2 linked regions of the Lonchura striata genome follow. The protein of the gene in region 1 purifies or fractionates together with the protein of each later gene. This does not show direct contact. Links are inferred from orthologs where the notes say so. Each region holds a gene or a part of one and is shown on either strand. Other genes may lie near its edges. The genes, in order: SLBP and MIF4GD.

The links.
Region 2: the proteins of SLBP (region 1) and MIF4GD purify together in Homo sapiens (affinity purification with western blotting; 3 studies listed by BioGRID and IntAct, with this or other methods). This does not show direct contact. The link is inferred for Lonchura striata from reciprocal best matches to the Homo sapiens genes SLBP and MIF4GD.

What each region holds. Positions count from the first base shown.
Region 1 is NC_134606.1:7,669,840-7,684,715, forward strand, and holds the start of SLBP (histone RNA hairpin-binding protein), read right to left. Parts: upstream 5,582-14,876; 5' UTR 5,375-5,581; coding exon 5,331-5,374; intron 5,156-5,330; coding exon 5,024-5,155; intron 2,896-5,023; coding exon 2,791-2,895; intron 2,263-2,790; coding exon 2,203-2,262; intron 1,956-2,202; coding exon 1,824-1,955; intron 1,242-1,823; coding exon 1,092-1,241; intron 1-1,091. Other genes in the region: uncharacterized protein LOC110473273, read right to left, coding at 11,328-11,433, 12,470-12,583, 12,986-13,093, 13,493-13,609, 14,220-14,357. UniProt on the Homo sapiens protein: RNA-binding protein involved in the histone pre-mRNA processing.
Region 2 is NC_134621.1:5,308,751-5,323,681, reverse strand, and holds MIF4GD (MIF4G domain-containing protein), read right to left. Parts: upstream 5,583-14,931; 5' UTR 5,463-5,582; intron 3,656-5,462; 5' UTR 3,602-3,655; coding exon 3,520-3,601; intron 3,361-3,519; coding exon 3,251-3,360; intron 2,969-3,250; coding exon 2,813-2,968; intron 2,217-2,812; coding exon 1,773-2,216; 3' UTR 1,047-1,772; downstream 1-1,046. Other genes in the region: MRPS7 (small ribosomal subunit protein uS7m), read left to right, coding at 161-382; SLC25A19 (mitochondrial thiamine pyrophosphate carrier), read right to left, coding at 10,380-10,580, 11,779-11,909, 13,067-13,250, 14,010-14,180, 14,859-14,931. UniProt on the Homo sapiens protein: Functions in replication-dependent translation of histone mRNAs which differ from other eukaryotic mRNAs in that they do not end with a poly-A tail but a stem-loop. May participate in circularizing those mRNAs specifically enhancing their translation.

The sequences.
Region 1 (14,876 bases):
GTGGTGGCAAACTGGGGAAAGCAAACAGAACTGCAGTACAGCTCAGTACTGCCAAAATGGCCAAGGACTGAATTAAGTCTTGAGACTGAATACTGCAACTTGTCAAAGACAAAAACCCAGTGCTCAAGCAATGCCTTAATGCAAATGTTACAGGAGAGGATTTTTTTTCTTCCCCCCCAGATGAGGTTTTCATCCATCTGTTTTGGAGAGATTTAATATCCATTATACACAGACTAGACCCCAGCATCTGAAAGTAGCATTTGGACACCAATGCACACAGCAGGGTTCTGGCTGAAGGACCAACTCCCCTCACACTGAGCAAGTAAAGGGAATCTAAAAGGAAGCTTTTATTTTAGATCCTATTGCTCTGCAGTAGCTTTAAAAATCAGCATTCCATTAACAAAAAACACTACTTTATTAACTCAAAACTGCCTGCTAAGAAATTAAGTTCCCTCTTTGTCCCCTTCATTCTCTACTGTCAGTTTTATGTCACATGTTGCTGATCAGCTGTATTGCTTTCTACAGAGGAAATAACTGGGGCATCACTCTACATCTTCTAGAGCTTGGGCTGTGAACACTTGTGGCCGTGCTTTGAGCTTGGGATGAGTTCACAATTCTCCCTCTCTGGAGAAGAAACATTTTATACCACTGTTCTTGACTAGCAAGTGAGAAAGTTTCCTGTACAATGGATTGGTCCAAGCTCAATATTCAGGAGACCTGCCATTAGTGAGAACTCTCCAGCCCTGTTCCTACCAGATAATTTGAAGACTGCTCAGAAAGAATTGGTTCATATCAATGATGTGGTGATTATTTTACAGAGCAGTGCAGAACTGGCTCTGCTTTCACCATTAAAAAAGTGAGGGATATGTATGTATGCCCTTCCAAGGATACTGGGCAAAGAAAAGGAAGCTACTGGATATTTTGACTGAGACGAAACTGAACAGCACTAAGTGTAGATAAATAATTAGGGGAAACATTCAGCACTCACTGACTTGCCTCAAAAAGAACTATGCTGAGGTGGTATTTATTTCTTAAACATGAGACTTCACATCATAATTTCTATAACAGCATCTTGCATACTCAGTACATACATTTCCTGCAGATCACATCCTCCTTCAGTTGGAGGATCCCAGGAATGCAGTGCAACTTTCCACAGTTTGATTTGCTGGTCCCATGACCTACGGCTGTACTTCTTAAATTTGTTTGGAGTTCTGGGATGAACTCCTGGTATACGATGGCATCTGTTCAGACAGAGATGAAAAATCTATCAGAGTTTTATTCACACATACATAACATAGCTTTAAATATTAACTGATTGTATGACTTATGAGGAAGACCAACATGTAATTCCTGCACTCAAGCAAAGGCTTGCCAGCTCCATACAAACTTCTTAGTTTTTCTTATTCCAAGCCAAACGAAATAACAATAGTAAAAAAGAATTATCATTCATAGATCTGAAAACTTAATTCCAAACTCCATAGCAACTGCAGCCTATTTTGTCTTGTAGTTAACTCATGAGAAAACTGACTGCAAAAAGCAGTTTCATTTCCTCTCACTGACAAGCACATCCAAAAGAACTTTCATTTCCATTTCAGCAGCATGAGGTATTTCTTATATAATGACTCATTAAAATAAAACTTTAAGCCACACCTCAGTTGACTGTTAGTGTGATCTAGCAGCTCAAAAATGTCTTAAAAGTTTAATTTGTAGATGCCTTCTATTTGAAAGTGTATTGGATACCAAGTTTAATACATTAATGTCCTTATAAAGAACAAGTATGACTTGCAGGTGGATATTTAGTTTTCTAGAAAAAAGCAGCTTACCTAGGAACTTCTTTAATGTATCTATCATATGCAATCGTGTTTTTGCCATAGTTTATCTGTTTTTGTCTTCTCATCAAAACCACCTCATCTGTCTCAAGCTCTACTGTCACCGTGGACTCCTTTGAATCGGAACTGAAGAAAAAAAACATTGCAGGTTTGGGACTACTAGAAAACCACTGACACTCAAACAAACCCACTTGTAAAAGGCTATAAATAAACATGCTGAAACTTTTCAAACAAATGCTTGGGGTGTTACTAAACCATGGTGTTGGAACAGACTTGAGATGAACTATTTTAAACTGTGTGTTTTAAGAAACAACACTGTGCAATAAAAATTGTTTTCAAGATTTTCCTCAGCTAAGGTAGAAATTTAACCTACCTTCCTGAGGAGGACTTCCTTTCTCTTGAAAATTCATTTATCAGGAGTTTTCTTCTGTGTCTGTAAGAATTAAAATCAGTTTTAAGAAATTATATACACAAAGAGGAACATGAGGGCTGCGCTGTCACAGCTCACTGTTAAATTAACTTTTCAGAAAAGCAGCAGCACCCCAGACATTGCAAAGACCTTTTCCTACGAAATGGATGTTTCAGTTTTCCCTTACAAACAATAAAAATACAAGGACTTTATTTTCCTATTTTCCCTAAAGCAACTTCTTATAGTAATGATAGGAAAAAACAGTCATTAGTGGAGAGTAATTTTAATTATTTTAATCTAAGAGATTCAGGAAAAGCTTAGTCCAAAAGGAAGATATTTAGGGATACATATTCAATCTCCAGAGATACAGTATCCCATGACATTCCTGCAGGACTCAACCCAAAGCTAATCTAAAAGCAGCAGACAAGAGGCTAAGGTTGACCTGATTTTACTACAGTGGTGAAGTTAAAAAATATAACTTGAAACAGGTTCTACAAGACAACTTCAATTTCTCTTCTTTTCACCACTTCCTCTTAAACACCCAGGGGTTACCTAGCGATTTCTTTGTGAACATTTGTCCTCATTTCATCTTCTTCCACTGCAGTTCCCCAGTCTAAACACCTGGAAAGGGGTCCAGGACCTTCTGGTGTTGTAAAACTAGAAAGGAAAAAAAAAAAATTAAGGCTCTGTGTTAAAAGCTTCGGTTATTGTATTTACCTCCCCTACTTACAGCTTGATACCTTAAATATAATCATTTACAGTACTCAAAATGGCTGTGACTACCTTGTGTTTTATTAAAATTTTATCACTGTAAAATTAAGCATCAATTGCGACTTCCACCTTGAGGTTGTGTGGTTTGTGTTGGGTTTTCTTAAAATTGATGTAGGTATCTATAGAAACCTACCACTGTAGCTTGAGAACCCAGCCCATGCTTTCAGTAACTTCCAGCTCATATTCTTCAGAAAATGGTACATGAAATACCAACTTTATCCATTTACTCACTTGTTTTCACTCCACTAAATGGCTTAGCAATTATTTATTTGATGACTGCAGACTCATTAGCTATATAAGAGATAAAAGTTGAGGCACAGAATTAAGTTGCAAAGCTAATTAATTAAAATTACACGATAGCACCAGGAGTTGCTCCATGTAAATATATGCCTAGTAGAGAAGGCAAAGGCACAAAACCATCCTATTTTAGCTAGGAAACTGAGAATTACAGTGCCTTTGCAAACTGGTTTAACAACTTTGCTGCAGCCCCTTAGCATCACAAGCAGGTTCAAACTCTTGCAGGGGAACAAACTCATATCCCCTCCCAACCACCTACTGCTGCCTGAATTCAGATTATTCAGTGTTTTCCCCAATTTTCCCTAAGTAAAACTCAAAACTGTATCCTAGAGAGCAGATCTGGAAATACTCTGGAGACTTTCCAGGATTCTGTGTAAACATGTCCCTTGGAGACAGGGGATTAGATCCATCTGCACCAAAACAGCTTCAATTCCCCCCTGCTCCCAAACTGGTTTGCACAACTTTGAACGTTTTGTTAAATTCAAACTTAAATTTATTTTTAGATGAAACCCAGTTACCAACTTGACAAAATTAAAAATCCCTATCAAACAGTACAGGTCCATCTGCAAAAATCTGTTCAAGCTCCAAGGTTTTTTAACTTCTGCTTATACCAATTTCTAGATTTGCAGAGAATGCAGGCCATGTTCAATTATTGCTCTCCTGTGGTAGAAAACAAACAGCAGAATCCCAGTTGGTCTCAGCTCCTGAGCTTTTTCCTCAACTCTTGTTTGATTCTGTACCTGTGCTGTGATTATCCAGATGACCCAGCCTCCATCCTGGTCCTCTTTACTTTTGAGAATTTTAATTTGGCATGGTTGGATTGGCATAAACAAAAAGTAGTTTTGTCAGAGGAAGAGAGCAATTTCAGTCAGAGCTCAATCCAAACTGAAACCAGGAAGTGTGTCTGCACAATTCAATACTGGGAGATACGCAGAAGTATTGCTTATTTATGTTGAAACTATCAGTAAAGTTTCATCCTCGTGCTGCTGTTCAACCAGGCTTTCTGGCATTAGTTTAAGCTACTCTGGATAGTGTAACTTGAGCCACTGACCAAGGTGTTCCCTGCTATTTGTCAGCAAAGGAAAGTGGGTGGGCACAACCCACCCTGTTTTCAAGAAGCCTTGAGTCAATCAACTGGGGTGTGGGAACAACTCCCATCGCAGATCGAAGAGATAAAGAGACCACGGCACGAACAGCTCAGATTGTCAATGTGATATAAAATAAGATACTTAAATCCAGCTGTGCTAGCAAACACAGAAGGCAGCGTTATGGGGTGACCTCAAAACAGGATCCCTCCACAAATGTGCTGACATATAACACAACTTCTTTGTACTCCCTTCAGAAACAGAAAATATATTATTTTTAAGAATCGAATTTTTGTAATTTACTTCAGTTTTACCACAACTGTTTGTACAGCCTGTATTTAGAAACGTAATGGGCCTGTACAATATTAGTCCTCGATAAATGACAGTAAACCAGCACAAAATAGGACATAAATTATCAAGGACATATTTCAAGAGGTAAGAATGAAAAATGCTGACTCCTAAGAACTGACTCGGAGATAAGAGCACTGCGCTCGATCCTTTTCCCTCCTTTAAGACCAGCTATTTATGGCCGATGAGCGATGATAACCAGGCAGGGCTTGGCAGAAGGGTCAGTACAGCAGCTCCTGGCGAACAAAGCGCAGGAAGCCGCTGCCACGGTCGGCACTGCTCACCTGTCCAGCCGGCTGTCCTCGGGCCCGGGCTTGTTTTCCTCACAGGCGGAGGATTCGGGCTCGTTCTGCCTCCGCCGCCTCCCATCGGCGCCGCGTTTCCTGGCCTGGGCCCAGCGCGGGGGGTGCTGCGGGCTGCGGACAAACAGGGACCCGGCCGGGCTCGAGGGCTCCGTCCGCCTCCGGAGACCGCGCCCGCTCACCCCTGCGCTCCCTCAGCGCGCCGGGCCCGAGGGGCTCCGGCCGCCCACCCGCAGCGAGCCCGGGCAGCGTGGGGGGAGCGAGGCCCGGCGCAGCCCGGCGGCCCTACCTGCTCCTCGTGCTGCCGTGAGGGCTCCTCTGGCGGAAGGACATGGCGCGGGGATCCTCGGCGCGCAGCGCTGCGGCAGAGCTGAGGCGGTGAAGGAGGGCCGGGCGGCGAGGGGCTGGCAGGCGAGGGGCGGCTGAGGCGGGCGGTGAAGGAGGGCCGGGCGGCGAGGGGCTGGCAGGCGAGGGCGGCTGAGGCGGGCGGTGAGGCAGAGCCCAGGGAGCGCTGCCGCCTTCCCGCTCGGCCCCTTCGCATCTCCCGCCGGCGCTGCGCGACGCGCCCGCTCCGCCTCCCCGCGGGGCGCCTCCACGGGGACGGGAGCAGGGGGGGGGGCGAGCGGGAAAGCGCCGCGGCCGCCCCGCGCCCGTACACGCTCACGCACGTCCCCACCCCCCCGGCAGGGTAATGGCTCAGCCCGCTCCGCCCGGCCCCGCCCCCGGGGCGTGTTGGCGGGAGAATCGAGCGCGGCGGCGCGCGGTTTTGGCGCGCGGCGGCGGCGGGACTCGCGTGAAACAACGGGGGGAAAATCCAGCCCAAACAAAAAGAAAAATACAAATTCCCGCGATTTACGTATGAAGGATGACGGTCCCCGGCAAGGCTGTACAGTCGATGAAGCGCACAGGGTAGTTGAAGGGCCAGTTCAAACCCTACACCAGACAGTTACCACATAAATTTCAGAGTGACGTGGCTTTAAATTCTGCATCAATAGTGAAGAAGGCTGGGTAACGACACGAGGCGGTTGTGCCTTGGTTCGTGGACCTTTCTGGGGTTTTTACTTGCGCATGCATGCCCAGTGAGATCCCACTGGTCCTGCTATTGGGAATACGCTCACATTTTAGAACAGTAATTTAGAAACAACCTGAAGAACTCCAGCAGAACACAAACAGCTTTTAACAATAATACATTTGCAGCCTGAAGACTGGTGGGACACTCCAGAGAGATGGTTTTCTTCTGGCCTTACAATCACAGGATTACAAAGGTTGAAAAAGCCTTACAAAAACAAGCTCATTAAGGCTGGAAGAGTCCTCCAAGATCAAGTTAATCATGGTTGTCCATGATTAACGAGGCACTGCTAAGTCCATTGCTAAACCATGTCACCAGGTACAACATCTGGTAAAACAGATGGCAGAAGCAGCAAACAAAAACTTGCTTGGTGGGTTTCTTTGATCAGCTTAAAACACTAAAGCAACTATCTAAGTGCAGCAATGGTTTTGGAGAAACTTTCAGAGCACACAGTAACAGGTGGTGTTTGGTTTTGATTTTTTAAAATAAAGATACACTCCAGCCTTGCTATGCATTAAGGGATTTATTTTGAAAATTCCATTCCTGTTGCCTAGCCTTACTGTGTTATATTTTGTACAAACTCGCAGATCTTCTGTGTGGCATCTGCATGAACATCCACATTCCTGCAGGAAAGTCTGCTCTGCTGGCACCTCTCCTTTCCCACACACTGCTATGAAAAAGAGAACTGTGTTCTTGAACCAAGGTCGTGCTTGAAATACAGCAGAGGTTCAAAACATGCACAAACTCCCCTCCCTTCAGCCTGGCTCTGACCAGCTAGACCAGCATGTTTACCTGAACACACCCAAGCAAGGCAAACAGGACAGTTACAGCCTGGAAGCCACACTGTGCTTTTAGCACCACACTAGCTACAAATTGAATTCAGTTTATCCAGTGGAACTATCTCCTGGGACACAGCTCAGAGATTACAGCTGCACTGCATCTTTCTGTCCTTGTCAGCAACAAAAGTCCTTCAGAGAAGCAGTTTCACACCATGGTGGGAGTTTAAGGGGAGGAGATATCCTCAGATGTGACCTCAAAGGAGTTTTAGAAACAAAATAAACTACACACAACCCGTGGCATTTCAGAACTGGCTGTGAAGGATGGTTTCCACAAGCACAGATAATGTATCATCTATAAGGAGATTCTCCCAGTGGAAGCATGCCAACAGAAGATACTTGTTATTTCTAGGAAGAAATTGAAATCTGTCTGCTGAAGTTCAGGGTATATTTTGGTTTAATTATAAACTAAGCACAGATTTATGCAGAGATTTAATTAAGTTGTGTAAAATTAAAAGGAAAAACTGGGGGTGGAGTGCCAGACTTCTGCTTCGCTTACCTCAGTTGCAAACTGTGCCAGACAGCCTTGGGTAGGTAAACAAGTGCATGGACAGGCAGCATTCCAGTTTTGACTGCTCTATTTAGTCTAATGAGGTTACTAATTAGAACACAGGATGATTTTACACCCAGTGGCAGCACTACATGCTATGACTTTAGCAGACCTCAAACTTCATCTGCTGTTTCATTCCTTCCCTTGAGGTACCATAGCTTGTTCAAGCACACAGAATCTGGATTAGGAAATAAATCTGCCCAAAATTCAACTGCCACAGGCAGATTGGTTATGCTATGTCTAGTCTAATGCCTTCAACCAAGAAATACAAAGATCTTTTAAGGACTGCTGAATTGCAAAATCCTATGGATGTATACCTAAAGCCGTTGCAGGCCCTGTCTATCATAGGCAAAAGCTCTTCATACTCAAAATACTTCAATAAATACTTAAGATGAGTTTAAGTATTTCTTAACAGCCTATTACTCTCACCTAGCAGTTCCATCTCCAGCAGGACCCCTTTCCATGGCAGAATGGGTGCTGGGACTTCAGCTTCTCCCTCCCACTATGTTACAATGCATTAACACCGAGGGGCTGGACAAAACCAGAATTGCAATCCGCCTTCAAGAGTCTAATTTTAATCTCTGAAGACTCCTCTTTTCCCCTTTTAGCAAGGACTAAAATCCAAAATCACTACCCAAACCAAGCAAACACCCTAAAACAAACAAGAAAGAACTAATGAACCCAGATATTCCTTTTATAATCAAACTGACAACACAACTGCAAAAACAGACTAACAAGGATTTTTAAAGTTCAAGTCTTTAATTCTTCTGCTTAAAGGCAAATTGCCAAAAATGTAACACATTCCCTTTATTTACAAGCACCATAAATCGCAAGGAAACATGCACACTGGAACAACAAGGTTCTAAATATTACCTCTTAGAAAAGTGCTGTACAGATGTGTCCCTCGTACACATATGCTCCGTGCTCTGTGGTGTGTGACTGATACACCCTTGTGTTAGGCTGAGCATGCCTGGAAATAACATTTTGGGAGGGAGAGTAGTTTCTGAGGAAGCAGCTGGCTTCAAAATCAGCAGCACAATGGGCTCTTGGCCCTGGGTACTGCCAGCCCTATAGCAAGGGAAAGTAAAACCAAATTCCTGCAGAGACAACTCCCAGCTCTAGCAGCCACTGGTATCCCAGTACATGCTACACAAGGATTGTAAAATTCTTGTAACTGGCACGTGAATTTAGTCCAAACCATGGTAGCCACAGCTATCACTTCAAACTTCTGCACACAGTGTTAACAGAATAAAAAAAAAAAGGAGAGCCTGTCCCAACACCATCACAACCCTTACCCTGGACAAGAGCAGCTCCACACCTGCAAATACTGCTATTCATCCCCAATAGTTGTAGGAACAACAGGCACTGAATGCATCCTCTCCTATTCTTTAACTGTAGACTGGCTCTTTGGGTCAGGCTGCAACACACATAAACACAAAATCCAGGTATTTAAGCTGTGCTTCTGTTCTAACAGTCACTCAACCCCTTCAAGAAAAGGATCTGATTTTGATAAACCATACACCTTTCCTTTCTCTTCTCTCACCTGGCTTAGGCAAATGCCACCTTAATACATCTCAGAGAACAATAAATAGGCCAAATGGGTGATCACCCAACCCAAAAATTATGAATAGCTTGTCTTGAATGACTGGAGGAAGGCTGAAATTATGTACATTCTTTTGAAGCAGTTCTTCAGGCTGCATATCCAATTCTGGTCCAGTGGAGCAGAGGAGGTTCCTTGATTGGAGGGGTTGGATTTCAGTCTGACTTGACACTGGACCATTCACTGGTAAAACATCAGCACACCCTGAGGAATGAGACTTCCAGAGGGAATGGCAGAATCCATCACCTGAAGCAGCCTTTGAAAAATAATGCACATGTCACCTGCCAACGCAGGCACAGCAGAAATGTCCTCACAAAAGCTTTAAGGAACATCCATTGTCATTGCAGCACAGGTTCACGAAATCTGGAGTTTTACATTTGAGGCACAGCTTGCAGAAAACAATCTATCCTTATAAAGATCTGGAGAAACCTAAACAAAAAAGCAGGTAACAGCATTTTATAAACGTGCTATATCCAGCCCTTAGCAACAAAATATTTCCCTCCTTTCCTCTTTTAAGCTGTAGTGTTACAGTAGCAGTAAATGGAAGAGAGCACTGCACATGGTGAGCTTATAGCACAGTATAAAGGAGAAACTCATACTGTCCATACTAAAGGAAGTATTACAGCTAGTATGAACATTTTGAGAACATAAATTACTAAAAAAATACAGTACTAGATACCCTACATTCATAAAGTATTTGTCAGAGACAAGGAAGCAGTTGAGCCTATTTTTCCCAACCCCTTGCATCGTTTTCATCTAAATGACATTATTAATTCATAAAACATGCTTTTATCTTGATTCTAATTAACAAATTTCTGACACATCTTAAGTATCCTATTGACTAAGGTTTTTCCTTAGAAATCAACCAGACAATTTCTGTCTTAAACAGGAATAAATGTGAATGTTTATTTTAGCAAAAGGGAAGGTAGTGTGGAATTCTACCATGTAAACCACTATCTGGTTTTCAAGCAAGATTAAACTTCCACAGATAAAGTTCCTGACACTTGAGAGTTAGAGCTCATCATGCCAAAAAGCCAAGGCAATGCTTCTCTAAATACTGATCTTTCCATCCCAGAAAGCCAATGTGTTGCTCCACAGAGAAAGTATTCACTTTATACATTCTACATCTAGCAGAGCCCTTTTTTCAATTACAATATTTGATTACAAACCCACTCCTTATATACACTCCTTAATACAGCCTTATTTACAACAAAGACCACTGCAAAAAAAAAGATAAATATCAACTATGTGGGAACCAGAAAGACTCTTAACTGTGATGTAGAGAGGCTTCTTTTACCTGAATAATTTCACCTTATATTGATTGCACGTATGCTGACTGCAAATCTCTTTCTCTTCCAGTCCAGATCCTACATGACAGCAGCAGTTTTCCAAGACTTGATCTGATCTCAGACTACATCCTATTCTTCAAGTCTTTTTCTGCCACAGGAGAAATTATTTCTTCAATACTTCTATATACAAAGAGAGACTAGATATTTTCAAATATTGAATTAGCACATTAGAAAAGTGAAAGCATGTTAAATCTTATTCATGCTCAAAAAATTTAAATCAAAAATCAATAAAGTCAAAAGAAAAATGTCATCAGCATAATTTTTTAAAAGCTCTAGCTGCCTTTTTCTCACATTGCTATAATCCAAAATCTAAGTGTAAAACTAATTTTGGCCACGTTCTTAATGAGTTTTATAAGACAAAATTTTCAAAGATCACTGATTAATAGACATTTATAACCATGTTTAATAGCCTGCATCAAATGTAGATCAAAGACAATCTAATTACACAAAGACTAGCTTCTAACAAAATCTGTTTAACCCAGATTACCACCCATCCTATTAATGCATCACAGGAACCTACAGTCCAAGAGAAAATTTTCACTAAAATCTACTGCTGCAATTGCCAAGTTGTTACTTCTTCACAGAAATATTAAGAGACAGAAAAGGTGCTATTGAAATACTTAAAAAAATTGGCACTTGTCATTTGAGAGATAAAAAAAAACATTTTCGGGCTGACAGGTAACAATTTCAATTTAGCAAATGGAAGCATTATGTCTTTTAATTAAGGTGCTGTATTAAGTGCAAGAGAATGGGATAAAACACTAACAAAATAAAAGAAAAAAGGATCTACCTGAACAGTTGCATTCTGTAGAATGATACTGTGGGTAGGCGACTGAAACAGCACAGATCAAGTAAGCAGTCAGCAGGAACTCACCTTGGGATTTAGATTTTTTTCCTCAGTATTGTATCTTCAGCATTTGCACTTTCCAATCCTCTGTCAGGGTATTCTGACTGATACCCATCTGATAAACTGCTACAAAGTTTAAGCCTACAAATAAAGAAACAAAAAAACAACGATTAATTTTCTTTATTGTGGTAACTTTAATAACTAAATACAATAACAATCCATTTATGTGGTAACTCAAAATGTCTCTCAGACATTTTTAGAGGTTCCAGGCCTTAGTCAGAAGCATTTTAGACCCTGGCAGACAGCTGAAAAACAGCTGTGATTTTGAATTTGAGCCATAGAATGAATTGCCAACTTTGGAGGTGGAACAAGCAATCACAAAAGGTTAGATAGTATAGTAAAAGTAGTTACAAAGTAGAGGGGAAATTTTTTTAGTATTGTACAGGGGGGTTTTAATACTTGTACAGGGGGGTTTTTACCTTATACATGGGGGTCAAAAGTTCTAAGATGGAGGAAAGTGGGCTGATCCTGTCCTTCCTCCTTCTTTTTCCTTACCTCCATGTTCTTGGTGATGTTAGCACTCACAGATTGGTTTAGAGTAGAAAAGCACTTTGTAATATATGTAGTAGGTATTGGGGAAAACTATAAACATGTAATATGTAATATATCATATAAAAAACAGCAGCAGCCCTAGGCGGGGGGAGAGACGAAGAAGACAGCAGACAGAGAGGATGTCAGTGTGTGTGTGCCTCTACCCAGGCCACTGATCAAATAGCTGCAGTCCAAGAACATAATCTGTTAGATAACTAACAATAAACTGCCTTGAGACCGAACAGCTAAAGCCTGTGGAGTTTTTCTTTGGAAGCACGGGTTGGAGGAGGAATTTCACCACCATATGAGACCCCAGAGCAAGGCTGGGGTTCTCACACATTTATATTAACACAGCTTGTAACATGAAAACATAAGGCCAGAATTTACCACACATATAGATATAAATAAACATATAAATATTGATCAAGACATCCCTAAGATAAATAGTGAAAAACAGCTAATTAAAAAATAAAATCAAATGTTTATAACAAATCCTTAGATTGAATTACAGCAAGAGAGCAACTAAGCAACTAAAATAACATACAAAAATGCCTCTCAAACCCAGCTGATGAGCTGCATTTGATACCTCTCCAGCCTGAAGTCTGTATCTCTCCAAGTCTTGCTGTCAGGCAGAAAGAAGCTGGATTTCTTCTGTTTTGGATGGTTCCATCCTGAAGCACAACTGGGTGGAATTGAGTCACTGCATAAAAACAAACAACTATCAGAGGGGTCACTAGAAAACAACTTAATCTCTAGGGAGACAGACAGAGGAAGCTTCCAGCTTTTAGACTGAGCAAGTGAGAGGCAAACTTCCAATTCTTTCAACAAGTCAGAGTGTGAAAGGCACTCATCATTTTGCATCATTACCTGGGATGGCAGAGGCAGCAGAAAGCAAAAGAAGGAGATTCAGACTGGAAAAAGCCAAGTAAGCTCAAAGAACAGAAACAACAACCAAACATACCACATGCTGGAGGAAATGTAAGAAGGCAAACAAAAAAAGTAGTAGTAACCAGTGAATGAAAAGATGAAAAACAAAAGGAAAGGACACCTTTATAGCATAGGCAGCAAATTGAAATAACAACATAATCACTGGGGAATTTACCTTGTTATCCCCATACTTTGCTGTACTGTCATTACTTCATCTTTTTCACCAAAGGCTTCCCACTTTGAGCACTTTGAAAAAGCATCCTGATGTCCTGAGTCAGTAAGGCTGGAAAGGAAATGGAAATTTCTGAATCCATGCACTATGGTAACACAGTTCCTCTTAATTTTTCAGAAGGAGGCTAAGCAGAGAGAAGAAACCATACCTACATGAACGTTTTTACCAAGGTTAGTGTGAAATGTCTACTAAACTACCAAAATCTTTAGTGTTGCCTAAATCTACACTCAAATTACAACCTGTGCTGTGTGTTCTCATACTTTGCAACAGAGCACTGTAAATATTTGCTCTCATACAGCACAATTATTCTGACAGGATTACCTTCCTCATCAAATTGCACACACTCAGATAAAATTAAAGCTATTAACCAAGGGAGGAGAAAATACCAGTCATATACCAAAAACCAGTTCATAGTATCAATGAATTCCCACATGGAGAATCATTTCATACCTCTCCAGTGTGCGGCACATCTGCAGATAATGGTTTTTGCTCTCTGAAACCACAGAGGAGTCAGAATTGTTTCTTCTTCTGCGTTTCCATACTGGAGAAGAATTGGGAGAACAGGAACTACAAAAACAGATTTTACACACGTAACATTTTGTATCTATGTTTAAATGCTTATCAGTGTTCTGCTAACTAACAGCATATGCTGCTGAGGAAGTTTCCTTTTGGGGTGTGATTCTTCAGTCACTCAGAGGAACACAGAGCAAATTGCTCACAGTTTAGAAGCAAAACCATTTTGAGCTTCACACACATCCCCCCCGGACAAGATATTTCACTCAACAGGGAAATGCAAGTCACAGTCAGCCTCCCTGCTGTGCTGTAGACAGGCACAACACTATGAAGGATGGGGACTGAAAGCATCTGAAATAGCTTCTCTACTTTCATGACATTCCAGCAAGGGTTAAAGAAGCGTCAGGATTCTGCTGTATAAACAGAGAAGCTGAAAAAACATTGCATTTTCTTTCTGTTAAACCAAGTAATTCAGCAATGCTGGTAATTTTTCCATACTCAGAGCTCTGTACCACTGGGGGATTACATTCAACAGCAAAAGTGTCAAACTCCAAAGCTGAGTAGTAACTGCCCTTCCACACTAAACATTTCCTACAAAAACCTGATGGCACTGACATGTGCTGAACTATTTTCCTAAGTTAAGCACAGAAGTTTGCTCTCATACCTCTCAGGTCTCTGGGCAGCCTGTCTGCATTCATCTCCACACTCACTTCTTGTCTGCTTTTCATCAAACTCAAAGAAGCCAGGAACATCCTCATTTTTGCAGAACCATTCCTGGGGACTACCTGAAGGTTCAGTACTACTAAACACAGCAGAAAAAAAACACAAAAAACAAAAAACAAAAAACTTTAAAAAACTATCCATCTGCCTTACTGCTCCAAATAGAAAACTGTTAAGCTGCAGTAAGAATTAACAATTCATCTGACACCCAAATGGTATAAAAAGTGCCACTTCCATCACAAGTCAATTACAATAGAGGTAAAACTATTTACACAGTGCAGAAACACAGCTCAGAGAATTCCATTCACTCTACTCCTCCAATTTACTAGTCCAAAACTTGTGAAATGTGAGGTGGCATTAAGTAGCAGAGCCACTCTTAATACAGAAATCCAGAACTGTGAAAAGATGAAAATATTTTTTTATTGAACTCAATTTACTAGTCCAAAAATGTGTAAAATACGAGGTGGCAGAAGTAGCAGGACCAGCCTTGTGACAGAAGTTCAAACATTAGAGAAGATAAAAGTATTTCCTTCTTGAACAAAATTGCCACCATCCTGCAGAGAGAACAAAAACCTCTCTCTCATCTTCTTAAATAGCTCAA
Region 2 (14,931 bases), on another chromosome or scaffold:
TTCCTATGGGAGAGAGCAGGAGAACTGGCAGGGCTCAGCTGTTGGGAGCAGCTCTGGCTGCAGAGAGCAGCACAGTGAACACCTGCAGGTGCAGCTGGTGCTGTGTGGCTCTGGGGAGGAGCAGGTTGATGATAACAGCCGTGGTTTATCCCTTTCCCAGGTGCCCGTCCCGCTGACGGACAATCGGAAGCGCTTCCTGGCCATGAAGTGGTTGATCACCGAGTGCAGGGAGAACAAACACCGCCGGACACTGATGCCAGACAAGCTCTCCCAGGAGCTGCTCTTGGCTTTCAACAATGAGGGGCCCGTCATCAAGAAGAAACATGTCCTGCACAAGATGGCAGAGGCCAACCGGGCGTACGCCCACTTCCGCTGGTGGTAGGGACCCTGCCTGGGACACGCTGCCACGGCCTGGAGAGCAGAGCCCCAGGGCTGCCAGCCTGGGACAGGGAAATCTGGAATATCCCTTGCAGACAGCTTCTGTTCTAACCCAGGGAGAGCTCACACGATCCCCATGAGGTTCACTTCTTTGTGCTTGTTTAGATGGGGGAAGGGGGAATCAGAGTTACCAGCCTCAGCGGGGCTGCTCCACTTAGTTCATAATCACTTCCCTGTGAAGACAAGCCTTACGTGTTTTTCTTACAACAGCGCTAAACAAAACCATCTTTCACTTACCTGTCTCATGAGGATCTGAAAGTCTTTCTGTTCCTCAAATCAGCAACGTTTTTGGCTGCAGAGCTGGATCCTCTTCCACAGGGATGGATACAACAGGCAATAAAAGGCTCGTTTTGATTTTTAGTTTTGCCCATCAGCAACATGGTCTGCACAGATTTGGTGGGAATGTTGACAAAATAAAACTGGTTTTATGGGAAGTGTTTCCCAATTCCAGACCTTTGTCTCTTTTGCTCCAGGTACCCTGGTTGTGTAAAACCCTGAGGCCCTAGACTGGAGCAGACACCGACTTATCTCAGCCTTAGGGCTTCAGTCAAGAGCAACCCTTCAGTATTGCTCAGAGCTCAGCAGCTGTGCAGGGAGAAAGCAGGGCATATGTTAGTGGAAAACTTTTATTAGAAAAAAATCCTTCAATAGACTATTTTGTTTCATTTCTTCCTCTCCCATTCTTATAAGAAATATAACATAGCTGAAACTTGCAAAATTCTGAAAAAAGTGACAGTTATTATATAAAATCTATAAAACCCATTCCTACATGTGCTCAAGGACCTCTTCTGTCGCAGGATGCCCTGTGGCAGGTATTCCTGGCTGTGGAAGAGGCTGTGTGCATACAGGTGTAGCCAGCCTGTTGGAAGGAGTGTGGGAATAAAAGCACCTGGTTGTGCTGTTTGTGAGGCCATGGTGTGTTCTGTGACCCATCCCAGAGAACCAGGTACAGCCTGAGCTGGGATATTTCCCTGCTGCCTCCCACAGCTCTGCTGGCTTTGGGGAAAAGCAAAATGTTCTCAGCCTAAACTGTGCTTTCCTTAACACTCATAGAAAATGCTGGTGTGAGCTAGAAGCCTCCCAAGCCCTTTGCTGACAGCAGCCCAATATTAAGACAAAATCAGTGGGAGAACTTGCTGGGTGAAGTGTGCTCTTCCCACTGCTCTGAACCTCTGAAGTCAGACCAGCACCAGCTGCATCTGACAGTAAGTGCAGAGAGGCTCTAGCTAGTATAAATCCTATTTACAGGGAGTGCTAGAAAATTAATGTGAAAAATTCCAAATTGGTATGAAGCTTGCTGGTGGAGGTGCTGGGGATTCCTCTGTCTTGGGAGGTTAATCCGTCACTTCACTGTAATAATATTTCTGGGCAGCGTCCGTCATCTTCCAGTCAGCAGCCCGGAACTCGATGATCTCCAGCAGCAGGAGCTGGGACAGGGAGCTGAGCCCCTCCTGCAGAAGGAAGCCATCTCGGAGCAGGGAGAAGAGCTCGTCCATCCGCTGGGAATTCATCTTCTCCAGCTGCTCACCGATGCGGTGGAGCTGCAGGACCAAGCAGTCCACCTTCAGAAGGAAGAGCAGATGCTGAGCACAAAGCAGTGGAGGCTCCTGTGCACCCCCCGGGCTGTGCTTTTTACAGGTCCTTGGCAGGACAGCAGGCACATCAGCAGCTCTCCCTGCACTCACCTCCTCCTCCTTCTGCAGGCTGTCGGGCTGTGCCAGCCGGAACAGGCAGTCGTACACGGGGTTCACCAGAGCCATCATGGGCATGTTGTTCACCTGCAAGGAGAGTGGAGCGTTGTCAGCCTGGGGCCAGAAGAGCCTCTGCAGCTATTTTAAATAGTTATTCCCTTGCTCCTCTCCGAAGGAGAAGGAAGCAGGATTGTGCTGTATTAGTGGGATTTACGTCAGAGATCAGACATTTGAGTCTCCAGGAACCAGAGCAGCTGAACAAATGATGTAAAAGACATCTATTTTTAAATGTAAGCAGGTAGTCATGGGAAATACACTTGTTCCAACAGTATTTTTCCTGCCTGCAGCTCTACTTGCATCGTTTTTACATCTACTCCAAGCAGAAATTCAAAGTTCACATACTGCACAAAGGCCTGAAGCCAAACTCCATCAGCAAACCCCACAGCAACTGAACGTACAAAATTAGGAAGCTGAAACTGTGACTGTTCCTGAAAACTTCCTCTGCCTCTCCAAGCCTGTAGATAGCACCAGCTCTGTCAGCATCCTTGTGCTAAGAACCTGCTCTGGCCCCCATGATCCTGGGGCTCTACAACACCCACCCAACACTCCTGCTCTGGTATCCTGGAATGCCCAGGCCCTCCTGGCACTCCAGGCAGCAGCAGCTGGCTGCTCCAGCTCCTTACCCTCAGGTAGTCGAAGATGTTGCAGATGAAGGTGACGTAGCAGATCCAGGCCTGCAGTGAGCGCGTGCGCAGCTCCTCCCTGTCCTTGTACTCTTGCTGCAGCCGGTTCAGCAGGCTCCTCCGGAAGATGCTCTGGCCAACTTGTTTGCTCTCTGCCTATAAGCCCACAAAAACAGGATGGATGGATGAAACAGGGGTGCCAGAGGGGCAGGGGGATGCAGTATCACACAGATACCCTTCTGTGATTCTCAAAGAGGCAGAAAAGCTGCAACTTGCTGCCTGTGCTAGCCCATTGCTCTTCTGGATGCTGCCACTGCATGAAGCAAGTGGCAGGACAAGAGAGATGGGCATGTGACTGGGGCAAAGCCCTTCCTGGCCAGCCCAGGGACAAGCCACACAACAGCCCAGGTGTTTCACTGTCCTGACATGAGCTCTCACCTGGATGATGGTGTAGCAGATGCGCCCAGCCTCCTTGCTGAACACAGAGTCTTTGAGAGACTGGTCCACTATAATATTGGCCACTTTCTCCAGGTCCACATTACTGGGGTCTGCAGAGAAGAGGAATACTGTTAGGACCTAGCCCTCTTTGGACCCTGATTGCTTTGAGGCACCTGGAAAGCAACCAAGGTCTGTGCAGGGGCCAGTACAGTCACATTAAATGGTGCAGAAGCCGTGCATGGCAGAGGAGCTCATAAAAACCTGCTGACCTTTGAGGGCTGTTTTCAGCAGCTTCTGGGTCTCGGAGTCGAAGGACTGTATTTTGTACTCTTCTTTGCCTGTTTCCCCCATGACTGGTTTTTCCAAGGGCAAGAGTCAGGGCAATGGATGATCTAGTCACAGTTCCTGGGGAAGGAACACACAGAGCTTAGCTGGACAGAGGCAAGCTTTCACCCATTTCCCATCCGGCACATCCCAGGTAGTTGAAGCACAGGCTGTTTCCTGACAAGGAAATTCCTCTTTTATTAGGGCACCAACTCTAGATCTATGCAAATCTTCATTCTCACAGCTTTCAAAGCCTTGTCTCCTACCAGCTGATGACAGAACTTCAGAGGCTTTATATTTTTCTGATATAAAAAACATGTTACAGGCAAAGCAGACTCAAAATATATGTGGCTGTATCACAGGAATGCACACGCTGCTCCCTTGGGCCTTTCATATAAAAATCTGGGAAGAATCAAAGTCAGTACAAAAGCATCGAACTCACACTCACCAGAGCACCTCTGCTGCACCACAGCCAGGCTTCCTCAGCTCCTAGCACGACACAGCAAACTCAGCAGCCAAATCCCCAAGAGCAATAGCTCCCATCTCTCTCATCCCTCTGCAGCACTAACGTGCTCCTAATGAGTATCTAGATTGATTTTCTTCTGCTTCATGATATGTTGAAGACAGCAAGAGGGTACGCACGGCACAGAGAGGAAGGACTTGCTTTGATTCACACAGGATCTGATGGATGGAAATGCAGGGCTGGCCAGACCGGCAGTACAAACAGGAGAAGGCAATCGTCCAAATGAGTTTTGCCAACTCGTCGAAATTCCTCGGCTATTACTCACCCCTCTCTGCAAACACGTCCCTACCCAGATCAAAGCCCAAGAGCCTTTAGGGGCATGGGACAAGTACCGTGGGCAGTCCCCTCACGTAGAGCATAACAGTAACTCAGAGGAGAGAGCAACCCCACCTGCCGACGCTGCTCTCACAGCCAAAGCTCTCACCTACCCTGTCACTGGGACAGAGGTTTCTTTCCCAGAGGGATTCACAAGCAGTTGGGTGCCCTCCGTGCCATGACTAGTTGGCAAACACCTTCCTAGCCGACCTCTCCTCTCTGTGCATCTGCACTCATGCCATGCTGCACTGCCAGTGGAGCAGCCCGAGATCAGCAGCAGCCCCGTGTCCCACCAGCAGCATCTCCACGCAGCAGGACCCCGGCGAGAGCGCAGCGCCTGAAGCAGCGCAGCGGGAAGCGGCCGAGCCCGTCCGGCAGCGTCTGTGCCGCCGCCCGGCCCGTCCCGGGGCTTCCGTTCCTGGGATGGCCACGGCTGCTTTGAACTGCTGTGCCAATAACCCTGCCACAGCAAACCACGGCGTGTGAACACTGAGCCAGCCAGGTCTCGCCGGCAGTAGAGACCCTCCTGTCAGCACCACCTTATCGGAAGGGCTGGTGGCAGTGGGTGACATGGGGCAGCTGTGAGTACCGACTGCTCCTCTGCCGCTGGCCCCTGCTAGACGAGCGGTCCCGGGGGCTGACACGGCTGGGGTCAGCACCCTCAATCTGCCGGTGATCCACCAGCTCAGGTGCCAGGGCACCTGTGACCTGCAGGGTCACACCTGGCAGCATGGGCTGGACAAGTCCTGGCCACTGCAAGGAGAGGGAGAAGAGCAGAGTCTCCTCTGCCACCCCATAGTGTCTGCAGCAGGGGCTCTACCAGTCCCCGGAACCCCCAGCGCATCCCCGCCAAGCCTCAAGTGGAACCCCCAGCATCGAGACGCCTCTTGCCCGGGGCAGCTGGACCACCGGACCCGCCTCCCGTCGCTCCAACCCCGCGGTTGGCACAAGCCCAAGGGGCACCGGACGGAGGAAGAGGCGGATCCCGGGGAAAGCAACACCCGCGCTGCCCCGGACAGGGCAGGGGGAGCCGGGCGCCGCCCCACCGACCTGCCGGCCGCCCCCGCTGTGTCCTCCGGCCGCCGGGACATCGCCGGCACCTCCCGAGCCCCGCGCCCTCCCGGCACGGCCCAGGTTTCCTCTTAGGTCATTTCCTCGGCCGAGCCGGGGGAGGGCCGGGCCGGGCCGGGCGGGAGAGCGGCGGCAGCTGCGGCAGCGCCACCGCCTGCGAGCGCCGGGCACGGCCGGCTGCTCCTCGGGAAACTGCTGCGCTTCCCGGGCACGGCCGGCTGCTCCTCGGGAAACTGCTGCGCTTCCCGGGCACGGCCGGCTGCTCCTCGGGAAACTGCTGCGCTTCCCGAGCACGGCCGGCTGCTCCTCGGGAAACTCCAGCGCTTCCCGGGCACGGCCGGCTGCTCCTCGGGAAACTCCAGCGCTTCCCGAGCACGGCCGGCTGCCCCCCGGCACCCTCCCGGGCACGGCCGCTGCTTCTCCGACTCTCCCCCACCAGGGGATCGCGGGCAGCACTCACCCCTCTGCCCCGGTTCCCCGCGGGGCTGTCCCGGCGCTCTACGGGTGACAACGGCGTGAATTCCGCCCTTCCCTCCGAGTCAGGGCATACTGCAGCCGAATGGTATAAAAAATGAGTAGAAAAAAGGTCAGGAAAGAGGAGAGGCACTAAACCAACGCACTGCAACAACAGCTGAGTATGGTATATAACACATTTCACGTTTTTTCTCTCAAATCTCAGCCATTTCATAAGGGAAGACCCCGCAGGGGGTGAAGCCTTCACCGCAGAGCAGGCAGGCTGCTGAAACCAGGGACTGGCTGAGGGAGCACAGAACGAACAGTTTGGGAATATTTTCTGTAGCACTACATGGCCTGGCTGGATACAAAGAAAACCTGAACTCAACCACCGGGGGTGTGAGGCTCAGGACTGACTATGACAGCTCCAAAAGCCCCTCTAGGACACAGCAGTAGGACTGGGCTGCAAACATCCCTCTTGGCTGATCCCTTTTGGTGCAGTTCTCAACAGCAACACCCAACAGAGACGGTACAGTTCTGCCTACGGCTGAGGGGCACCCACAAGCCATTGATGGAAAGTCCAAATAGCTCCTGTTGCCCTATGCTCTGGGCCCTGATTATCCTTCTTTTCAGGCAGCAGGAGGGCCACGATGTTCCTGCGGGGTCCAGCACAGGCATGAAGAGGAAAGGAATAAATCAACTGCAGCGAGCCACTGTATAAGAAAATATTTAAATTAAATTAAAATATTTAATGTACCTTGTCCACTCAGGCAACACAGCGAAGTGCCACAGTTACAGTTTCTACATCACAAGAGAAACTTAAATCCGAATTAAATACTATCTATTCCAGTCCCAACTGGAACATAATAAATGAATAAGCATTCATTTATTGTCAGAAAGGATGCCATGCAGCTCTGGATGAGTATCCTGAGAGTGGGACTGTCCTAGGAACTTGGTGAGCCAGCCAGCATTGCAGGAATCAGCATGTTCCTTGCAGATTTTTTGCATCTGAGGCTGGCTCAGTGCCATGGTGGAGCTGTAAACAACTGGGGCACAACTCCTCACCAACCCTCTGCCCGCTAAGGAGCTTTTGGACGTTCTCATGGTAAAAGGCACTAGCAGAAAACAAACTGCTGAGCAGCTTGTGAGGTGAACTGCAGGCAAATCCCCGATGATAGGATTAGCTTGGAAAGAAATCCCAATGGCCAAATCAGCCAAGTCTCACAGGGAGGCATTTGCCATGTTGAGTCACTTCACACTGAACGGGAGTGCACAGCTTCCAAGAGTATATCTGTCCCAGCACCTGGGAGAACAAGGTGTCCACACATCTCTTCCATTCCCTGCTCCTCTAATTCTAAGAGATTTAGGTCCTAACAGCATGTGTTTTACCAGAGCAACTTGAGAAATAAGACCTTTCCTCCTGATGCTTCATTCAGCTTCAATCCCCCAGAGAAATCAACACTCCTCTTACAGTGCTTTCCCCAGCAGTGCACATGAGAAATCTATGAGGGACAGGTGCTGCCGATCAGAGATGAAGAAGTGATTGTTGGATGCAGCTCCTAATATTGTTGAGGTTGTCACATCTTTCTCCTTCTCACTGGAAGCCCAGATGCCTTTATGGGCCTATAACATTTGTGACTCACAGCCTAAAGCCTCTGACCAGGGAGTGTCTATGGATATTCTCAGTTCAGTCAGAGAGAAAAAGAGAAAGATTTCTGCCAGGCTAAGCCTGGGAAAAAGTCTGGGAGGAATGTAAACAATTATTATCTCTCTTTCTGTTCATGTTGTTTCTGGATATGTTCTACCACCGTGTGCTGTTTTCACTTTGAGATCGACCATGTTTCACCTTAGCGATCCTGGTTATACAAGAGGAACACTACTTGTTAATAAAGCTCATTCTCTTCCATTCTGAAAATGGAGTCTCATTATTCCCATCCCTGCCTCAACAGCGACAAGTGTCTCTTCCACAGCCTGGGCCAGACAGGCACAACTTAAACTCTGGCTTTGCCATCTGTTGGGTGGAGGCAAGCTCAGTTAATGCAGAGTGAAGGAAAAAACAACCCCAGAGAGGAAAACCTGCTCCATATGCTCCAATGCTGCCCACACCAGCATCACCCTAAACTCCACAGCACCCTTGAGGAATGACATCTTAACAGAGCACAGGTTTTCCTGTTCTTTCCTGCTGCTGAGTTCCCAGCCAGTTTTGCCTTCTTTTGTGTGGTTTAACAGCAGCTCTTTGACAAAAAATGGAAAACAATTCCTGCAATGTTTAGACAGGATGGATGAGTCCCCATTTCCTAAGGAAGCCTAGGTCAGCACCGAATATTTTCTGCTCTGGCCTGCCCCTGCTAACCATGACGGCATTCCTCTCACCAGCAACAAAAGACAGTAACAAAGCCAACCTATTTATGTCTGTTTTGAAAAGAGACACTTCTCTCCCTCAGAAGGATGTCATGAGGCTGAGTTCATTACTCCTTATGATGTCTTTCCAAGAACAACAAGTGAACAATAAACAAAGGCTAAACATTGTTAAGAAGATTGAGGAATCTCAGAAGAACCTAAATAACACAGGAAAATGACAATAGGATTGAGGCACTAGGAGAAACTCCATATTTCCTGCATTTTCTGCTCTAAACAAAATGGCCATTCTTAGACTATACGCAGCTCTCTCTTCCTCTTTAAAAAACTCACATATTGACCTCCTGCCTGACACTGACACTGCTCAATGAACTTTATTTTACACAGCTCAGTCACCTGCAGGCCACTTTGTACTCCAAGGTCTCAAACTCATAGCAGACATAAAGTTATTTAGCCTGGGCTTGCAAGGAATTTCTCCAGATACTTCAGCCACCAGAGAAGCAGCTGTTTGTTAAAAACAGCCTCTCACAATAGCTCAGGGTAAGTGAGCAATGCTGATATGCTCAAAATTGCCAGGAGAAGTTGCGTCAATGGAATGGAATTGGTCACGCTGGAATCTGGCCAGACCATTTGGGATTAACACCCTGAATACTGCAAAAGAGCTGGGGAAAGCTCTGTGTTTAAAAACCATCAAACCACCCTCCAAATAACTGCAGTGCTCTGCCTTATCCACCCCTTGCAGATGACTAACATGCTTTTGTATGGCAGGGCTGGGAACTCTGCCTTCCACACCAGTCCAGCCACACCCCGCTAGGCTTAAAAAAACACGGCATAAAAGAGGAGGAAGAAAGTAATTTTCCTCTTTTCTACTCTTACGTAAATCAAGAGTTGTTGGTAGGTTGTTTTATTGGTTTTTTTACCCACTTGCAAAACCTTTGAAACTCCAGAAAAACAGTTTTCCATCTCTAATTCAATCATCCATGTGAAACAGCAACTCAGCCAGCCAATTCCCATTTGATGTTCATTCCTTTCACTTCAGCAAATCTTGTCAAAACATTTTCATCTGCTAGCACCAGTGCAGGACTCAGGTTCTGAAGTATTTTGAGGCCACTACAGAAATACTTGTTATACACATTCAGAGGTGATATTAAATAAATAATGATTTTTTAAAATTAATAGTTTCCACAGGACTTTCCTTTCATTATTCCAGCTTAGAATAAATATTTCTTAACTCTATACAGCATTTGTTTACTCACTGCTTTAAAGCAAAGAACCCTGAAGTAAAAATATAGTTTGTGCGTTGAATCCCCTCAGAGTGGGGCTCTCGATATGCAGGTTTGCTTGTAAAAAGTGTAAGTGAGGCACTGCAAATCCCTAAAAGATGTATGGCCAGACACTCAGGGAGAGAAAAGGGAATTCAGCATACAATCAAGTTCACTGGAGTTAAAGGAAAAACAAGTCTGATCCAGCATGATCAGAGACAATGCTGTGTTTAAGATGACAGAGAATGCTCAGCCAGCAAGTGGTGACCAAGAAGCAGCGACGGAAAGGAAAACTGAGGGTCTGTGCACTAATGTGGCTTTACCTGATTTCACACCAACAGGACAGAGAGACCTGTGCAACACCGAGACAAGAATCTGGAGCAAACAGCAGGCACAGAGCAAAGGAATAAAGCTGTGCAGATGCAGTGCTAGGAAGTGATGTTTGCTTGGTTAAGCAGCACTAGGCTGGGCCAGAATCCCCTCTCTGGGATCCAGGGTGAGCTCCGGGACGCACCCACTTTATTGGGTGCTTTTCCAGAGCACAGGCATTGCTAGGGAATGGTCTGTTGGTTCCCCCTCTCCCCACTAAATGTGCACTGATAGGAGACAGAAGGAAAGTGCTCTGTTGAATGGCTCCCAGCCAAGCAGTTCAGTGTCTCCAGCAGAACTGCAGTGGCCTTCTCCTTCTGTTTGGTCCCAGGAGGTGATTCCCCACAGGCTGGGGGAGCTCTGGGAGCTCTGACATTTCCAACATGCTCGTGACAGAGCAAGGCTATCAGTCTCCCCTCCTGAGGAGAACAGCAGGCAGCCACACACATCCCTTTCAGCCTTCCTTCCTCTTCATGCTGTCAGGGCTCTTCAGGGCACACAGGAGGCCGCAGAACAGCTCGTACCAAAAGAAGATGAGGCCAGAGGAGCAGGCAGCCTTCAGCAAACTGGGAGAGAGGCCTTTGAAAAACCCACCTGGGCCCTCCTCTCGCATGATCTGCCTCATGCAGTCCAGGAAACCCCCATAAGTCCGTACCTGAGAGAGGAATGACAACAAGGTTAAAGAAGAAAACTTCAAGACAACTGGAAAAAACCAGAAAGATCTCCAAACTATATCACAGAAACATTATCTTGACATGCAGCCTGGAGATGCCTTTCTGGATAATATAATAACTAACTGAAAGTTTCAGAGACAATTTAGAGAGAGCAGGATAGAGGAAATGTGGACATACAGCATCAGCAATGGCTTATCCACATCATTCACTGAATGGTTGTAAAACCTCTGCATGCAACAACAGCATGATTTTTAAATTTATGGCACAGGTTTGTGAAGTCATTATTTCAGATTGTGCAGCTGCTGTTTTCTATTCCCTTCACTGTCTAAGAAGGAAAAAATGTTGAGTTTTCTGACAGAAAGCACAGCTACAGCACGTAGGAGTTTCCCAATTAGCTGTCCGCATGTTGTCACATTACACTGTGCAGTTTTAACATCTTGTGACACATCAATGCTAAGAGCAAATTCTGCATCTTACTGCAAGAGGAAAAGCATCCAATGCAATGGGCTGATACATCAAAATGCTATTCCAGAGTTTCTTAGGGTACAGACTGATTTCCTTCTCAGATGCAAGGAATTTTAAGGAAAATAGAAAATTTCCACATTTTAGGGAAAAAAAAGAGAAAGTTCCTTGAAAGATCTATATCTGTCTTCAAATGTATTTCAAGGTGGTAACAGTGGTGCTGAAGAACACCAGAGTATTTAATTTGCTTTGAATTTCAGGCTATTCTCATATATAAAACACATGTTGAACACTTGGTGCTTATTTCTTGTGTCAAAATATTAATTGCAGAAGAGGAACCTGACAGCCAGGTGACCCAGCACAGATGACCCCAGTGTCATCCTCTGCTAGTAATTTGGTTCTGAGTCAGAAAAACCAAGCTGTAACTAGAAAAGTAAAGTAAATCAAAAGCCCTTTGCCTGCCTGACTCATCCCCAGATTGGAGAGGGATGACAAGCCAGAGCAAAGGTATACTGGACAGGTCCCTCCTGGGACCCATCATAAAATAAACCCAGTACGTTAATGTATAAATTCACATTATTAAATGAGACCAGTGCTCGTTGGGAGCTCCCAACCTAAACATGAACTCAACAGGTACCACTGGTGGATTGTTGCTGCATTCCAGTGCACTGGACTAGCCCATAATCAGGAAAATCCACGACTTCCAGCATTTCTCACCTGCCCAAAGGCTGCCCGAGCGTGCTCAAAGCCACCCACTTGCAGTCGCTTTTTGACCACATCCAAAGGGTACGTGAGGCTTTTGCTGACAACTCCAGCACAGCTGCCACAGACAAGGTTTTTAATGTTGGCTGAGAAGCAGAAAGGGAAAAGGATAACAAGGAGGAAAAAAAGAGGATTATCAGGGAATTCTGATTAAAGATCATAAGAGGTAAGTTAAAAATCACTTTTCACAAGAAGTAAGGTTAAAAAAGTCCTTTGAAATTACATCAACTCTTCTGCAGTAGTTTCAGCCAAAGAATCTCACGCTGTATTTTTTCAGGCTTGCAATGCCTGTTGGAATCAGAGGACTCGCTCCTCTTGGTCCGTTACACTGACTTATGGTTTTGCTCTGCTCAAGAAACCACAATCCCCAGCCACCAGACAACTTGCTGCCAGTGGATGAGTTTTCATGGCCTCCCCCAGTAAAAGCCTGGTCAGTGGAAATCTTGCACCCCTGACTGCTCAGGCTGATGTATTCTGGACTGGAATATCTCAAGCTGACACTGCCTGATGATTTCAGAGGTTTGTGGGAAATGAGTTCTGTATTAGACTTTTTCCTGACAATCATGACGTCCCAGCACAAAACCACCATCAGCCTCTGCCACCTAAAATTAAATATACAGACTTATAGTGCAAAGTCTGTTCATCTGGTGAAGAAATTCCATTGAGGAACAAAGTCATGCTGCTTGTTGCATTCCTCTTGCTCAAGAAGGCACAGGTATCTAGAACTGCCAATGTGGCAGGTTGCATCAGGATGAGGTTCTCTTACAATGGAGCTAGAAATTAACACAAAAATATCAAATCAAGAGCCTGGCAGCTTTAAATTAGAGTAAACGAATCCTCGTCCCTGAGAGCTGTGCTGTAATCTGCAGGCAGATTAACTACAGAAATCCAAGAGTCCAGTCCCCACAGCACTAATGAAACAGCAAGATTATGGCAGGACTGTCTTCCCACAGTATCAGTAACGTGACACTGTTAAAGGAAGAGCACCCTGGCCTGTGACACTTCACTTTCCCATCCACCCACTTTCATCATGGTTATTGTACAATGGGAGCTGTTTGTAACCTCTGCTGTACTTAATTTGGCATTTCCCTGCAGGGGTAAAAATGAGAGGTGGGAAATTGAGACGCTTTTCAGATGTTGCATCAAAAAATGTGAAAGGACTAACAGAGCTTACATCAGTCACCCAAACTAGCACTCATTTCATTCTCTCTGGACTGCAACCATCACTGTCCCAAGTTCCTACCTCTATTCTTTGCTTCAGCTGGAATCGCCCATTTGGAAAACTGCTGCAGGATGTTGTAGAAGAAGAACTGGAGACCAGCATATGGGAAGATAGCAATGAGTGTGGGGGTCAAACCTCTGTAGAAAGTCCGAGGCCCTTCTGTCTGATACATGGTCACCACTGCATGGCGAAGGTTGAGGTAAATCTGAACAACAAGGAAGAGGCTGAGTGACTTTCCAGTGAACTTAAAAACAGCAAACCAAAGGTCAGGTCATTTCCCAGTAATTTCCCACTGCCCAAAATACAACTGACTGTGTTCAGCACAAAGTGATGAGCAAGGTGATTTTCCACACCCTCACAGCGTCCTCTGCTAAGCCCTTGTGACTTAACAGAAACAAGGCATGGAGCTGAGTCCTGAGACCACCTGCATCACAGACATAATTATTTCTCTTTTAACAGTTCTTAACTCCTGCAACACAATTAATATAATACATACTGTAATTCTGCTGCAGGCTAAATACAGAAATGGCTCTGATACAAATCTATCCCATTATTACACAACTAGTTAGCACAGAGACCAATTCTTGTGTAAATAAGAACACGAAGCACAGGTGAAAAGGTGACTAGTTTCAAGTAGCATCCCCATAATTATCTAAATATGACTCTAGTTTCAAAAATGCAACGTTCAACAGTCTGGGAAGCGGGTTCTATAAAACGCCAACAGCCAAAGCAAAAAATTGAGTTATCCTGTTAAAGACAGTTTCTCCTTTCTGCATCACCTGTCAGGATCAGAAGCACCAAAATTCAATTAGGAAAGCTGTGCCAACAGCACGAAGGATAACTTGGCAACAGTGCAAACACTGTCCGTAACAGCACCTGCTCCTTCATTTTAACCCACAATGCTTTCAAACCTCCTGCATCCTCAGAGCTGTGAAATATTGCAACATGGAGTGCTAAGCCTCACCTTTGGCTCACCCTGGGCAGCAAAGCGGGTGCGCAGCGTGTCCACAGGGTGGACTGCGACCGTGGCCGTGCAGGCAGCCAGGCCCCCACACACCAGGTGCACGAAGGAGTCGCGGGCTTTGAAGGAGGTGGCCTTGTGCACCAGCTCCGTCAGGCTCTCGAACGCCATGAACTTGCAGAAACAAAAGCACACGGGTCAGGAAACCGATCCTTATGACTCACACAGGTTCCCCACTCCTCTCTCATTTCACCAACAGCTCCACCCCTCCCCGCTTGTTACTACCTTCTATGTCCTTCAAAAGTCCTCCCAAAGTTGCAACGTGTAAAAATCACCAAGCACCCCAGGGAATGCTTGGGATACTCTGGTGTCCGACACTTCTGCTAATTCTTGCATTTAGAGTTGTGAAAAACTCATTTTAACGTTCTGTGGCTCCAGAAGATTGTTTGCTATATCACAGATATGCTTTCCTTTACCCTTTCAGCCACTGCTCCTAAAGCAGTTACTAATGTTTTATACAGTGCTGTGCAAAACACCCTCATCAGCTTCATTGATTTTTTCCTAACAAGCCCTTAGGGTGACAGCATGACTAGAAGGAAAAAACTGCCAAGGCTTGGGGCATGAACGGGTAAGCCAAATGTCAGGAGTAGACAGGGCTTATCTATGACACTAGATACAGACAGAGCTCAGTGCTCCAGTCTATTCAGTCAGCTCAGGAATATTAACTTGGGAATTATTCACCAGATTTATACAGCTATACATCCTTCCCATTCCTGAACACAGATGGTCTGAGGGAGCAGAGCAGTATCCTGGGTACACACAGTTTGCCCAGGTGATGCCTGGTGCCCTCACCTGAACAGCTCCGAAGCCAATGGAAAGGAACTGAGCAGGAACATGGCCCTTCCAGAAGGCTGTCAAGCCCTCC